Notamacropus eugenii: one gene and its partner. The protein of the gene in region 2 purifies or fractionates together with the protein of the main gene of each other region. This does not show direct contact. Links are inferred from orthologs where the notes say so. Each region holds a gene or a part of one and is shown on either strand. Other genes may lie near its edges.

The links.
Region 1: the proteins of PRKAR1A (region 2) and DYRK1A purify together in Homo sapiens (affinity purification with mass spectrometry; 6 studies listed by BioGRID and IntAct, with this or other methods). This does not show direct contact. The link is inferred for Notamacropus eugenii from reciprocal best matches to the Homo sapiens genes PRKAR1A and DYRK1A.

The regions. Positions count from the first base shown.
Region 1 is NC_092876.1:420,706,439-420,713,440, reverse strand, and holds the start of DYRK1A (dual specificity tyrosine-phosphorylation-regulated kinase 1A), read right to left. Parts: upstream 3,083-7,002; 5' UTR 2,953-3,082; intron 1-2,952. UniProt on the Homo sapiens protein: Dual-specificity kinase which possesses both serine/threonine and tyrosine kinase activities. Exhibits a substrate preference for proline at position P+1 and arginine at position P-3.
Region 2 is NC_092873.1:331,704,480-331,711,760, reverse strand, and holds the start of PRKAR1A (cAMP-dependent protein kinase type I-alpha regulatory subunit), read right to left. Parts: upstream 3,095-7,281; 5' UTR 2,543-3,094; exon of another isoform or gene 2,136-2,542; intron 2,042-2,135; exon of another isoform or gene 1,662-2,041; intron 1-1,661. UniProt on the Homo sapiens protein: Regulatory subunit of the cAMP-dependent protein kinases involved in cAMP signaling in cells.

The DNA.
Region 1 (7,002 bases), on a different chromosome or scaffold from region 2:
ATTGGAAGAACAGTGAGAAGACCAGTTTTGAAAAGAGAAAAAAAAACTGATCATGAAGGGGGAAAAAAGGTTGTGGTAGGCAAAACAATACAAAAACTGAGGTATTCATTAATAAATGGAAAGTAATTCTTACTGCTGAAATCCATTTTTTCTATCACAGCTAAACCAACTCTTAATAGAAGAAATTCAAGTGAGCCTGGGTAAGATCCGGGCAATTAGATCACAATCTGGAAAACATCCACCCACAAAAAGTCTTTTTGGAGATTTTTAACTTCCAATGGGTCTGAAAGTCTTGGCCCTATTCTATATTCTATAATTCTATAAAGAATTATAAACACTAATATAGTGATATACTGAGAAGCGGAATTGTTCTGGAATTACAAACATCTTAAATGTAGCTGTAATACTATCAACGTAACTTTGTACCATGTTACATAGTCACTAATGGTTAAGAACTTTATTTAATAGAAAAAAGTAATAAACAAATGTCATGGCCTGGCAACTGGCCTGACTTAAGCCCCATTAAAAATCTATGGGATGTAATCAAGGTCAGACTTGGAAAAACAGACTGTTCAGTAAAGGTACACTTAATATCAAATGTGATTAAGTGTGAATTAAAGTATGTGTCAAAATCTTGTGAACTCAGTCGCAAATCATGTAAAACAAATAAGAGCAGCAAAAAAGTAGATTACATATTAAAATTTTTAAAGATGTAAAAAGTTGTAACATATATGCTGTGTCAAATATATTTTCTATTTTAATTTTTCTAGTTAATTTACAAATCAATATAAGTACATATGAAACTGTCATAACCTATTTTCACATGGATATCTATGTAGGATGCAATATAGACCCAAGTCACTGAAAACTTTCTGGTAAGAAAGTTTTTGTCTTGAGTACATCTAGAGTGTCGTTATAAAAACGACTGTATTCCAACATCAAATCTTTTTTTAAAAATTGGTTAGTTTGAATAGTTCAGAATCATTATGTATTTTAAAACTTTATCTATAACTAAGTCCCATAATTACTGTATTTGACACTATCCACACACTACACATAAAAATTATATGAATCTTATGCTACACAGAAATCTGTTGTCTACCTAGAATCAACATTCTTTATATCTGTTAAACCAAAGAACAGAAAAGAAATGTAGAAGTATGTAAAAGCAAAAACTTCCTTACATTAAAAAATATCCTTATGCCAATATATTTAATCATTTTAATTATGCAAATTACGAAATGGTACACAGATAAAGGCAAGGTACTTTAAAGGAATAAACCAAACTTATGTTTATCAAAATTCATTTTATATTCATCAACCACACAGGGTAGATCCCCAGGACCAACTTTTGTGAAACCATGGATACTCAGGATAGCCAGGAATAGATGAATGGAGATCTGCATTACTGAAGTCCCAAAAGATGAGATCACAGATCTATATGAATAGTTATCAATAGTCAAATAAGGTCTACAGCTAATCAGAATACTTGTTGAACTGTTATTCCACATAGAACAAATAGAGGAGAAAAGCTAAGAACTGCATTAAGAGTTTTCAGTGAATGAAGTACATAGTTTTCAAATACAAAAATACTTCTAACAGATTTCTTTAAAATAAATTTGGACAAAATGGCACCAGATCATCTCAGCCTTCACTTTCCAATTCAACAAACGATAGAGCCAATTACAAGCTAACAGCACTACTTCCCCTTAGTCATAAAGCTGTAATGACATGTAAATGGCTACACTATTCATTATTACTTATAATCAGCTGCTTATGTATCAAATGAACTCTTTTGCAGAATCAGGAGTGTTCTTTAATATTGTTAGTGTAAAGTCAATTTTTAAGGTATATCTATTTTCTGATGAGTAAGGCAAGAATCAAGCAAGTCTGGCACCAGAGAATTCTGATGATCAAGGAAAGAATAAAGTGGAACCTCAAGTTGGCTAAGAGATAGACACCTACTACGGTGCTATTTATAACTATGGAATTTGAATGGAGACACTGACCTTTTCTTTTCTGTATATGAAATATATTCACTGACTTTGGGGGTAAAATGCTGAATTCCAAACAGGCTCCGGGTTTATGTCCATAAATTTAAAAGCCACATCTGAAAACTTTTGTGGGTCCATTATGATAAACATGTTCTCTGTCATCCAATTCTCCAGTTGCTAAACAGGTATTTAAGTTGCCACCTCAAAAGGCCAAGTTTGCTTTAACTTCAGGGAATTTAGAGTACCACAGACTACCTGACTTTAAAAGCCCAAACAGATTAAAAGATTAAGATTATTATTTTTTTAAAATCATCTCCTCCACCACCTGCCCTTGTTTCCATCCTCTCACTGCAGCCTACCTACCCATGTTTGCGGATTCATTTTAACAAGGAAAAGGGTCCACTGCTGAATAATTCCTGACTTCTCTGCACAGCTGAAGCAGCTTTCCCTTGCACGGACCCAGCACTTTCTCCAACCCCAAGGATATAAAAAGAAGCCAGCCCTGTATGGCCACAAAAGGGGAGCACGGGGGGCACCAAGGGCTCCTCTCTCTGCTACCTGCCATCCCCATCCGCAGGAGTCGGGGTCCTTCCTCCTAACTTCCACTCACCCCACACTCCACTTCGCTAAAAGGAGCCGTTTCCGACTGCACCTCGCAGAGGCCTGCACCCGCAGCTCCTCCCCAGGCCGGCTCCACGAGGGGGGGATTCCGCCGGCAGGACCGGGACCAGGGACACTTCTTTCTAAAATGGCAGGTTTCCTCCCCAACGTATACATGCACACCTATGTAATTATTATACACGCACACGCGGCCTCCCTCTCCCTTCGCCCTGTATGTCACTGCAAGTCCTAGCTGGGGAGCCCGGCCTAGGACGGGGGGAAGGAAGGCTTCAGTGCCCGGGAGAGGCCTGCGGCCGGGGCCGGGGGCAGAGAGGGGAGGGAGGCTCCGGACACTCACCGAGACGACGGCGGCCGATGTCGGCTCCTGCTCCCCGGCTTCCCGCAGTTACGGTCCCATCCGAGGGCCTCGGGCTCCAGCACCGCCCCGGCCGCCTCTCTCCGCCCCCGGCACTTCCCGGCTCCACTCACCGGCCACTGCGTCTCAGGCTCCAGAGACCAGCAAGGCGACAACCCCCCTCCCCGGCAAATACCGCAGTCCCCGGCCTCGGAGGATCAGTCAGGCGGCGGGGCGAGGCCGAGCTAGGCCGGGCGAGGCCGGGCGCGGCGGGGAGGGCGGCGGTGGCGGCGGCCTCTCCCCGGCGGCCGCGGCCCGGGGTCCCTCAGTCTCCGCGGCTCCCGGCTCCTTTCCGAGTAAGATTTTGTAAATCTCACAAAATGGCGCGCGCTCCAAACCTGCGCAATGAGAAGCGCCGGGGCCGGGGCGGCGGCGGCGGCGGCGGCGGCGGCGGCTTATCCGCCAGAAAAGTCCTAGCCGCCCGCCCCCCGAGAGATCCTCCTAGCACGGACACACACGCACACGCACACACACACGCACACACACGCGCGCACACACTCACATTCACACTAGTTCTCCTCTCTCCCCTTCTCTCACAGACACTCACCCACACTCACTCTCACGCTCACACACACTCGCACTCTCACACACACACTCGCACTCTCACACACTCACACACTCACACACACACCGGTCTCTCCCGCAGCAGCGGCGGCGGCGGCAGCAGCAGCAGGAACAGTAGTAGCAGGAACAGCAGCGCCCGTGGCACCCGCACCCCCAGCTCGAGGTGTCCGCTCCCCGCGCCGGCCTGGGCCTGATCCACCGCAGCCACCGCAGCAGCCTCCCGGATTCCCCCGCCGCAGTTGCCGCTACCGCCCCCACCTCACTCCCAGGGAGCTTTTTATTATTATTCGGGCGGGAAGCGAAAGGGTTTAAAAAAAAACCCTACCAACAAAATGGCGACTGACCGACCCGGTCGCTATGGCAACTGTCAATCAAACAGCAAAACCCCGGCTGACGTGCTGACGTCCTCCTCCTACCCCACTTCCCCAAACCGGCGGGCGGGGCCTGTCGCCGGGGTAACGGCGAATTCCGTTCCCTCCTTTTCCTGGCTGCCTCCCTTCCCCCCACCAACCACCCAACCCCCTTCGGTCACGTGAAGGATAAATTCGGCGCTGTTTTGCTGCCAAGTGTCAGAGGAGGGCGCGTGATTCACTCTGGGGAGGGGGCAGAAGGAAGGAAGGAGAAGAAGGGAAGGATGACTAGAGGTGTGATGGGGTGGGGAAAGCAGAGAAGGAGGGAGGAGGGAGCGGATCCCATTTTTGTATTTCTAAGTGCTGCATTTGTAGAGGGAGAAAGAGATTCTGGCTCCACGCGCGCGCAGACACGCGCACACACACGCACACACGCACACACACACACACACACACACACACACACACATCTAACACACATTCCCAAACCCCGCCCCAAACGAGGCTGGCCACCAGAAATCTGGAGAGCTGCCACCCACCGGACTAGAGTCTGGCGTCCTCCCCATAATGCACAGCAGCTTCGGGGAGGGCCCCACTGCAGGCACTGGGAGGCGGGGGTGGAGACGGGGAAGACTAGCTGAGCCTCCGGAGTCCGGTGCCCCGTGCCCCGTGCCCCTCCCTGGCGGCCCCGCCCGCCGCACTCACCTCCGAGAAGAGAAGCCATCCCCCGGGCCGGCCCTGGGCGCCCTAACCAAGAAGCGGGGCCGGGAGACCCGCGTTGGAGCCCGGAGTTCTGCAGTCTTCACGTGGAAGTGTCACGCCGACAGCAGCCTGAGGACCGGCGTCCAGGACGGGAAACCCCGTCCCCCAGAAGGGGGGCACGGGGGAACCCTGGGTTTTTTTCCTTTCTCGTCCACTTACCTGAGTATTTCGTGTGCCCCACTTGGTGAAAGCGAGCTGTCCCGGTATGCTTTTTTAAAGGCATATGACCCAGGAAGGGATGAAAGTCTCAACCTGGAGCTGGGCTCATAATTGGTGCCTTCTGCATAGTCAGATCTGAATAAAGCAAGCCAAGAATGCCCTTGCTTCTGACCACCCAGATTAATTCACTGACACAGTGTGTGTGTGTGTGTGTGTGTGTGTGTGTGTGTGTGTGTGTGTGTGTGTGTGTGTGTGTGTGTGTGTGTGTGTGTGTGTGTGTGTGTGTGTGTGTGTGTGTGTGTGTGTGTGTGTGGTGTGTGTTCGCAAGAGAAAACCTATCCCTCTCAGCGAGTCTACTTGCGGTTAAAATATCCACGGATACACTTACCTTTTCTTTAGCCAGCCATAGGATACAATTGTTTCAAAGCAAAGACATTTAAAAGTCACATGCCGAGTTACGATTTCAAGGTACAAAATATAGATACAGTATCATTGGGGAGAATGGACACGCGCACACACACACACACACAAGGGGAACGTGTAGAAGGTAACTTGAACCTCTCATGCTGCAGGACCATGAATTTCTCCTGTTGGCATGATTCAACAAGCATTTATTGAGCTCTTACTGTGTACCAGGCACTATGCTAAGCACTGGGGATACAAAGAAAGGTCAAAGACAGTCCCTGCTGTCAAGGAACTAAAGACAGTCTAATGGGGAAGACAAACAAGATGCAGACAAGAGAAACTGGAGATAATCCACAGAGATAAGACATTAACATTAAAGGGGATTGGAAAGGCCTTTTGCAGAAGATGGGATTTTGCCTGAGATTTGATGGAAGCCAGGGATGTTGGGCAGCAATAAGTAAAAAGAGTTCCACTCATGGGGGACAGCCAGTGAAAATGTGCAGTCAGGAGATGGAGTTCCAGCAACAGCAAAGTGTATCACAGAGTGCATGAAGGGATGTAAAGAGTAAAAGGACTGGAAAAGGAAGAATGAGCAGGTTATGGAGGGCTTTAAAAAGCCAGAGGATTTTGTAACTTGTTCCAGGAGACAAAAGGGAGTTAGTGTAGTTGATTGAATGGGGAGGGGATAGGATGATATGGACAAACTTGCTCTTTAGGAATATTAATTGGTTCTGGAAGATGGAGTCTTACTGCTTCTCTCACTGGACTTGTCACTCTCACCTCCTCTTGGTGGATTCTTGGTGGCCACCAACCGGTCATCTCAGCTGAAATTATCTTACCAGCTAACAAAAGCCAAGTTGAATACCTCCAGGTCTCTTTTCGAAACCTATGTATAAGTGGAGATCTCAACCTTCCATTAGCTAATCACTCTCTAACCTATCTGATTTAATATGCAAAAGAATTTGATCAGAAAAATGGTAAGCTAAGAAGGCAAGCCTTTCCACTCACTCCACTCCTGCCTTTACTGTCCACAGCTATCGGCTGTATTTTGATTGACTGAAAAATTTTGCTGTCTCCCTACATAAATGATTGCTGTGGTTGTTGTTATTAAGGCACTCAGTTGTGATGCCACAGACCATAGCACAACAGGCTCTTCTGTCTCCTAAAATCTATTCAAACTCATGTTCATTATTTCTATGATACTATCTACCTATCTCATTCTCTGTCATTCCCTTCTCTTTTTTTTGTCTTCAATCTTTCCCAACATCATGGTCTTTTCCAATGAGTCCCATCTTCTCATTGTGACCAAAGTATTTAAGCTTTAGCTTTTGTATTTGACCTTCCAATGAATAGGTTGAATTAATTTCTTTAAGTATTGACTGATTTGATCTCCTTGCTGTCCAAGGAACTTTCAAAAAGTGTATTCCAGCACCAAAATTCTAAAGTGTCAATTCTGTAGCACTCAGCTTTTCTTTTACTCCAGTTATCATAACCATACATTGCTAGTGGAAAAGCCATAGCTTTGACTACATGAACTTTTTTACTGGCAAGGTGATGTCTCTGCTTTTTAATATGGTGTCCAAATTTGCCATAACTTCCCTTCCAAGAAGCAAGTGTCTTTTAGTTTTATGGCTGCAGTCACCATCTGCAGTGATCTTTGAACTCAAGTGTATAAATTCTGACACTGCTTTCATTTCTTCTCCCTTTGTCAGAAATTGATGGGACCAGTTGTCAAGATCTTAGAATATTTGAT
Region 2 (7,281 bases):
ATAAGGGTTCACTCTTATTTACAAGTACTAGGGGAAGTGACTCTGCATGTCAAGAAATCAAGAAAACCAGCAACTGCAGAGTTAAATTAGATCCTTTACCTTTCAAAGTCTGAAATCATTTCATGTATATATGACAAAAGTTATCACTATAAAAACACATTAAATTATAAATATCAACCCTGACTCTTCCGAGTCAAATCACAATAGCAGCACAATGCTTTAAAACACCTGATCATGGATTAGAAGGGAACTCAGAGGTAATCAAGGCCAACACCTTTGTTTTACTGATAAGGAAACTGAGGCCTCTAATAATGAACCAAGAGACCACAAGAAAATGAGAAGAAAAAATCTGAAATCACTTGAATCTCTGAATAACCCAAACATGTGCCATCACCTGATTGGAAAGATTTATTTTTAAGACTCTAGAACTACAAAAGCTCCCCCAAAAGGCTAATTATTCTAGATACTGCATTTCAAGCCGTTAGCAATCCCTGCTTTGTGATTCTCAGTCTAGAGCACTGCCTAGTGGGGTTAACAGCTTTCCTGCTTGGGTTAGCCTCCATTTTGACACAGAGAAACGTTCTTGCCAAGCTGAAGATATATTGCTTGGAAATGAAGTTCTCATGTTAAAGACAAACTTCTTGAATCTTCCATAATAGCACAAAATTAAAGTTTTGGTGGTGGTTGTTTTACAGCTTGCCATGCTCATATGGGTATTACTTGTGTCCGAAACTTCGTTTATTCAGAAATTCAGCAGCAATACCTCTTCAGTTTAAATGGTTTTCTGTCAAATAAGAGATTTAACATCTTATTTTGACAAAATCTTTCTGGTTCAGAACAATACCTATTAAGAAGGCAGCCTACCAAAGGCTGAGCCGATGCTAAAAAACAGAAGCCTGAGGGAGAAGGGGCACAGCGTTACAATGGAAGTAAACTAATGATTTTGTAGCCATTACACAAAAGCTACGTTGTAACTATTGTGGGATCTTACCATTTTTCCTGTATAAAACGAACTGTGCTTTTGTTACGACTCCAGATGAGAATAAATTACTCCCAAAAGGAAAAAATGTGTTCCTACTTTCATGTGGGGCAGGGGAGATAGAGACATTCAAGAGAATTGTTCAAGACTACGCCCGTAGCAGGAGAATCAAGACTGTAACCTGGGCCATTTAACCACGCATCAGTTTGGGTTTTTTGGTTTGGTTTAGTTTTGAGGAACAGCAGAATACTGCATTTCATTTCATTTACGCCCACAGGGACTCCGGAAAAGAATGAAAAGGGGAGGCCAAATTACCATTCCAGTAGTAGCTGGCAGGCAACAACAGTAGAGGAAAAGAGAGATGGGGGGGGAAGGGAGAAGGCAGGAGCAGAGAGATGTGTAAACCCGGTTTAGAGGTAGGTGAAGAACAAAGGAAGAGGAGGGAAATACTGCTCAATGGGGGGAAAAAGGAGAAGAAGGTGCATTAGATGACAAGAAGCGGGGTGGAGTTAAAACAAAATGCCGTCAGGGGAGTTTCATTAACAAAGACTTGTTTAGGATCTGTGTTAGAGGAACGGGTAATAAGAATAATAGCATACGATTGTAACAATAATAACAGCCATAATAGTTAACATTTATATATCGCTTGAAGGTTTGCAAAGCCCCCTAACCAATATCTCACCTCAGTCTCTCAACCACACTGAAAGGTATCAGATGTATAGCATTTGAAAGCTCGCAGACCACTTTCACATATTTTATTGTACTGGATCAGATTCGGATGCTCTTCTCTCTCAGCATCGGGAGGTGGGGGTCAGAGAACCGCAGGAACGAGGAAGGAGGGGGCTCGGGGATGGGCGGAGCCAGGGGAGGGCGCGCGCGAGCCGAAAAGGGAGGGGTGCGATTTGTAGGCGGAGGGAACCGAAGGTGAATGCTTCTCGTCTGGTGGCGGAGGGCTACAGAATACAGCAGCGAGGGCGGGGGGCGGGCGCAGCCCCGGAGGCCTGGCGGGGAAGGGGGAGGGGAAAGAACGGGTGGGTGCGGCCCTTCCCCAGAGCGCTCCGCGAGGCGCCATCTTGGATCCCTCCAGCCGCAACAAAACGGATCGGCCCGGCAGCGAAGCGCGACCGAGGCCGGACCCCGGACACGCTCCACTTACCGACGTGCTGGCAACCGCATGCTCAGAGGTCCCAGGAGTGGGCGGCTGGGAGCCGTCTTGAACACGTTTTGCGTCGCCCCCCTCCACTGTGGCGGTTCTCAGGTGCTCTCGACAGCCTGAAAGCTCCCCCCTCCCACCGGAAACTAACCAGCCACGACCAATCACAGCAAGATCACTGACGTCAATGGGCCTCGGTCTGGTCAAGGTGGTTGCCCTAGGCAACCTTAAAGGGGAAACCAGCGCCCCTCCCCCCTTCAAAGTCCCTCTCTGTCGAACCCCACCCCCTTCCCCAGGGACCCTTCTAGCCTTGGCCCCTTTCTCCTCTGGTCCTACTCTGCAGCCTTCCCCCGTTCCTCCTCTCTTCCCCCCTTCTTTTTCGGGTCCTTCCCGACCCCCGACCCTCTCACCTGCTCGTCCACAATCTTTCTTCTTGTGGCTCTCCTTTCTTGCTTTCTCTATTTCTCTTTTTATATATATGTTTTTCTTTCCCTCTCTCTTTTTCTCTTGGTCTCGTTCTAGACGCTACGCGTCCAGACTGTCCCTCAGGCTAGACTGTCTGCCTCGGTCTCCCTTTTCCTCCCTGTCTCCTTCTTCCTCTCCGTCCGTCCGCCTGTCTCTCGGTCTGCCCGAGCTCCACCTCTTCTCGTCGGGCTCCTCCTGTCGCCTCTGCTGCACTCCCTTCCTCGTCCTCTTCCTCTCCTTTCCTCCGCCTCTTCTGACTAGTCGGTCTTGTCTCCCCCTTTCCTAGCCCCAGACTCCTCACGTGGGCGGAGAGGAGGGGGTGGGGAGGCGCCTCTGCAGCTGCGCCCTCTTTCTCTGCAGCCCCTGTGCGGGGTGGGGCTGGAGAGGGGGGCTGGGGGGAAGGTTTCGTGCTGTTCCTGAGGCCCCGGGCGGCTGCGGCTGAGGCTGCGGCAGTGGATGCGGCAAAGCCCTGCTGCCATGGCAATGCTGCAGTGTCTGGCAGCTGCGGTGGCACGTCCCGACCTGGCCGCTCCCTGCCCAGGAGCCTCTTGGCAGCATGGGCTGGGAGGCTCAATTAGAACACCATCTAGCCCAGCCCCATCAGTTTTCAGACGGGGAAACTGAGTTCAAATAAAGACGGGAGACTGAAACTGCTTTCCTAGGGACGAAATAGCTTGGTCATAATTCCAGCCGTGGGAGTCGGGCTTCAAGTGTAGGTGATTTGACGCCAGTATAGGTGCTCTTTCCTCTGACACCTTATTGCCTCACCTTTTTCTCGTAGCCCAGTTTCCTCCAGGTTGTCATATACTGCATTTAAGACCTCTCAGGGTCCTGAAATAAAACATATTTAAGTCTTGGATTTGAACACAAAGGAGAACTCCTTGCTCCTGTTGTAGAGGAGAGTCCATCATCCTGGGATCTGTGATTCAATGAGAATGCTCACAAGCTGATGGGCCAAGATTATGAAGGAAATTATAAGTCTTAAGTAAAAATTTTAAAGAATAAACATACTAAGCTTCCAGCACATATTTATATGTTGCCCTAAAGCATATTATGTCATTTGACTGTGGCACTGAAGGAAAAACCAGTCAGTCTCCCTTTAGGTCATCAATTTTGACAAAGGGAGACAGAAAGGGAGAAAAAGAAATCTTACCAAAAAAGCTACCTTCACCGTTATTTCAGAATCCTAGAAACTGGATTGTTTTTAAAACACATAATCTAATCATCTCTCACAACTTCATGTCGAAATTTCTCTCCAAGCTCGGTTGCAAAACTATAATAATGAGGGAGACAGGCAGGAATAAATTCAAGGACAAAATGATACCTCTGATCATTTCTTACTGATCTGATTCTTCCTTTCAAGGGGAAAAAATGGGGAAGTTGTTTCAGAAGGATTGTTTTAAGACTTTAATTAAATCTTACTGGTAGGCACATAGATTTTGCTGTATGCTTCTGTTCTCTTTTCACATGTGTTTCTGCAGAACCAAAAGAATGAGCCATGAGTGTTCTAACAGGAAAGAGACAAATAAACAAAGGATTTTTTTTGATTTATGATTGTCCCTCTTATATCTGATAGCTAAGACAAGCACAGTCAAAGGCAAAAAAGCAGACTGAACAAATGAAAAGATAGCAAAATGCTATAGAGGGTTGTAGCTGGAAGTCTCTCTCCCAAGGGTGTTCTGTGATGAACATCACAGGTGACATTTACTCTGTGGCATGCCTGGTGTAGTGGAATGGTAGGATAAAGACAGCTTCTTTCACACAGGATTTCACACCTAAGAGCAAAGAAAGAAGGGACTGATAAATATGCCCTCAGCTGTCATGCAAAAGAAGGGAACAGGATACTGTGAAGCTAAAGGGTCACCCAAGCTACAAGGTTATGCCCTTTTTGGACCATGTGGGCTCTGTGCCATGTTTGGTTTTGATGTAATATTTTGATGAGACAGCCTCAGAGAAAAGACAGTAAATTGGGAATATTAAACATTTTCTCCTGTTATTTGAGTGACAGCTGCTTACTCAATAAAGAATGAGGTTTTTATTCCTACCCATCTGCACTATAGGCACCATTCCAACCAAGGGCAAGAACCATACTGTTTTCTCTGTCAATAGTATTAGCTTTGTTCCAAATGCCAAATCCATATTTACTGGAGAGTTGGGAAAAAAAAAAACAGGAAGAGAAGCTGCATATAGCTGAATTTGGGTGGGGTTTACTGAGGCAGCTGGTGATTTATTTTTTTTAAGTCATGATGGCTTATAAATTATATAAATTCCCCCTTGATAACTCCAGATAGGTGAATACCGGATTATATATGACATTTCTCAATGGATGTTCTTATATCACAATATGTAATCTTTGCCATATTATGCTTTCAGTGTAAGATTCCTCAGTGTCCAAATGTCTACTGTTCTTCATCCAAAGCTTCTTTCCCTATTTCCTTGAATAAATCTAGCAAACGTAAGTGAAATCTCAGTGAAGCTGAGAAATAAAATTAAAGGAAACAAAGCCCCTAAAAGCCTATATCTTGGGTCTCATTGTATTTAAGATTGTTTTTTACCAAGGACAAACTCATAGACTTCCAATGAGAGCAATTAAGACAAATTCTATCCTGTTTGTACTATTCAGTCATGCTGAATGTTTTGCCTCTCGTGGAACCAAAGATATTCAAATTACCCCCAATTTTGCAGATTTCAAACACAGCCTTCCCTTAGGAAACATTCAAATTACATGTTACCATGACTTGCATGTAGTGGAAAGAGAATAAATTTGGAAATGAGGGGACGTGGGTTCAAGATGGCTCTGCCACCACTGTGTGATCTTCAGCAAACCATTACATATCTGTGGACCCTAGTTTTTTCTTCCCTAATGTGAATGAGAGATTGGCCTGGGTGAAGTTTAGGGTCCCTTGTAGAATTCCCTGAATTATATGATCTTATGATTCCTATGGGAAACAGTTTTCTATCACTCAAGAAGCATTTATTAAGCCACTCAGCTAGAGAATATGATGTGGATGATGAGCCTATAAAGGAGACAGAGAAAGACTAGTCAAGCAGGTGGAATAAGAACCAGGAGAGAATAATAGTATGATGAAAACCCAGAGGGGAGAGAGTTATCTATGAGGAGAGGGTGGTAAACAGTGTCAAAAGCAGCAGATAAGTTGAGAAGGATGAAGACTGAGAAAAGGCTATCAGATTTGGCAATTAAGCAAGCACTGGTAACTGGAGAGAACAGTTTCACTTGAGTGATGAAGTGAGAAGCCAGAAGCCAGCCTGCAGAGGTTTCAGGAAGGAGAAAGAGGAGAGGAACTGAAAGTAGCAAGTGCTGGGTGATTTATCTTGAGTATTAATAAAAATTATAAATCAAGTTTCATGCAAATAGATATCAAGGTTCAAATCTCAAATAAATTTCCAATGAAGATGAAAGTATATTGAGGGGCAAGTTAAGTGGTGTAGTGGATAGAGTATTGATCCTGGAGTCACTCACTGTGTGACCCTGGGCAAGTCACTTAACCTTGATTGCACAACACACACACCCCCAATAAAGAAAGTATATTGAAAATCATCCCACTCAATAGTAGAATGGTTATAGAGCAAGACAATACTGGGAAGGATGAATCAGAGAAGCGAAAAAGTAAATAATCCATACAGGTAATGAGGATGTCCTATATCAGTGTATAACAGGGAAAGGATGTGAAAGATGCTGTGGAGGAAAAAAAATAAGATTTTTGCAACTGATTGAATTTGTGTGTGAGAGAGATGAAAGAGTCAAAGATAACCCCAAGGCTTTTAAATCAGTGATTGAATAAATGGCAATTCTATTGTTGGAAATACTACCTCTATCATGTGAAGACTTTCCCAGACAGAATGGGCAGATGAGAACATTTTGTTCCAAGGACCATGAAGGTAGCTGAAGCAGGCACTGCCAAGCACTTAAAGCTTGATCAGGCATCAAAGACACCAAGGGCATCTACTGCAACCTGGGCCATCACCAGTCATCTTGACTTTTGTCTTAGAATTAGACTCTGGTGACTCAGAAAGAGAGACTAAGGCTGATGACTGTGCAACTCTACCTCACTTAAATCTGATTCACATAAAAAGTCAAGATATCCCCTGTGATGTCATTGGTCCTCTTCAAAAACAAAAGATGAACAACAACTACAACAAGATAAAATGAGGGATCAGCTTCTTGCAGAAATATGACAGGCTTGCTTTTGGACATGTGAAGTTGAAGATGCCAGTGGGAAAGCCAAAGAAACTGTATAAACAATAAAGATACAGGTCTAGACCCTTAGAGAGAAGTTAAGGCTAGAGATAGAGCTTTGGAAGTAATATGTGCAAAAGTCAATACAAGACTTAATAAGCACCACAAGAGATTATCAGGAAGAAGAAGAGTGAGTGAATGAAACACTGATCAGACAAAGAAGTGGGAGAGAGCCAAGAGAATATGGAGTTTTTGAAACCAAGAGTGGAGGGTATTACCACGATCAGGGAGGCAGCGAAGCTGAAATATATGACAAGAGGGCTGTGGTTTTCAGTAGCCCTAACAAAGCCCTAACGAAAGCCCTAAGCCTTTTTCTCACATTGCAGCTGCCTATAGACAGTAGATAAAAGCAAGGAGAAAGCCATCCCTTCCAATCTTTTTTTTTTTTTTTTTTTTAAATATATCACTCCCCTAGTACCAAATGTC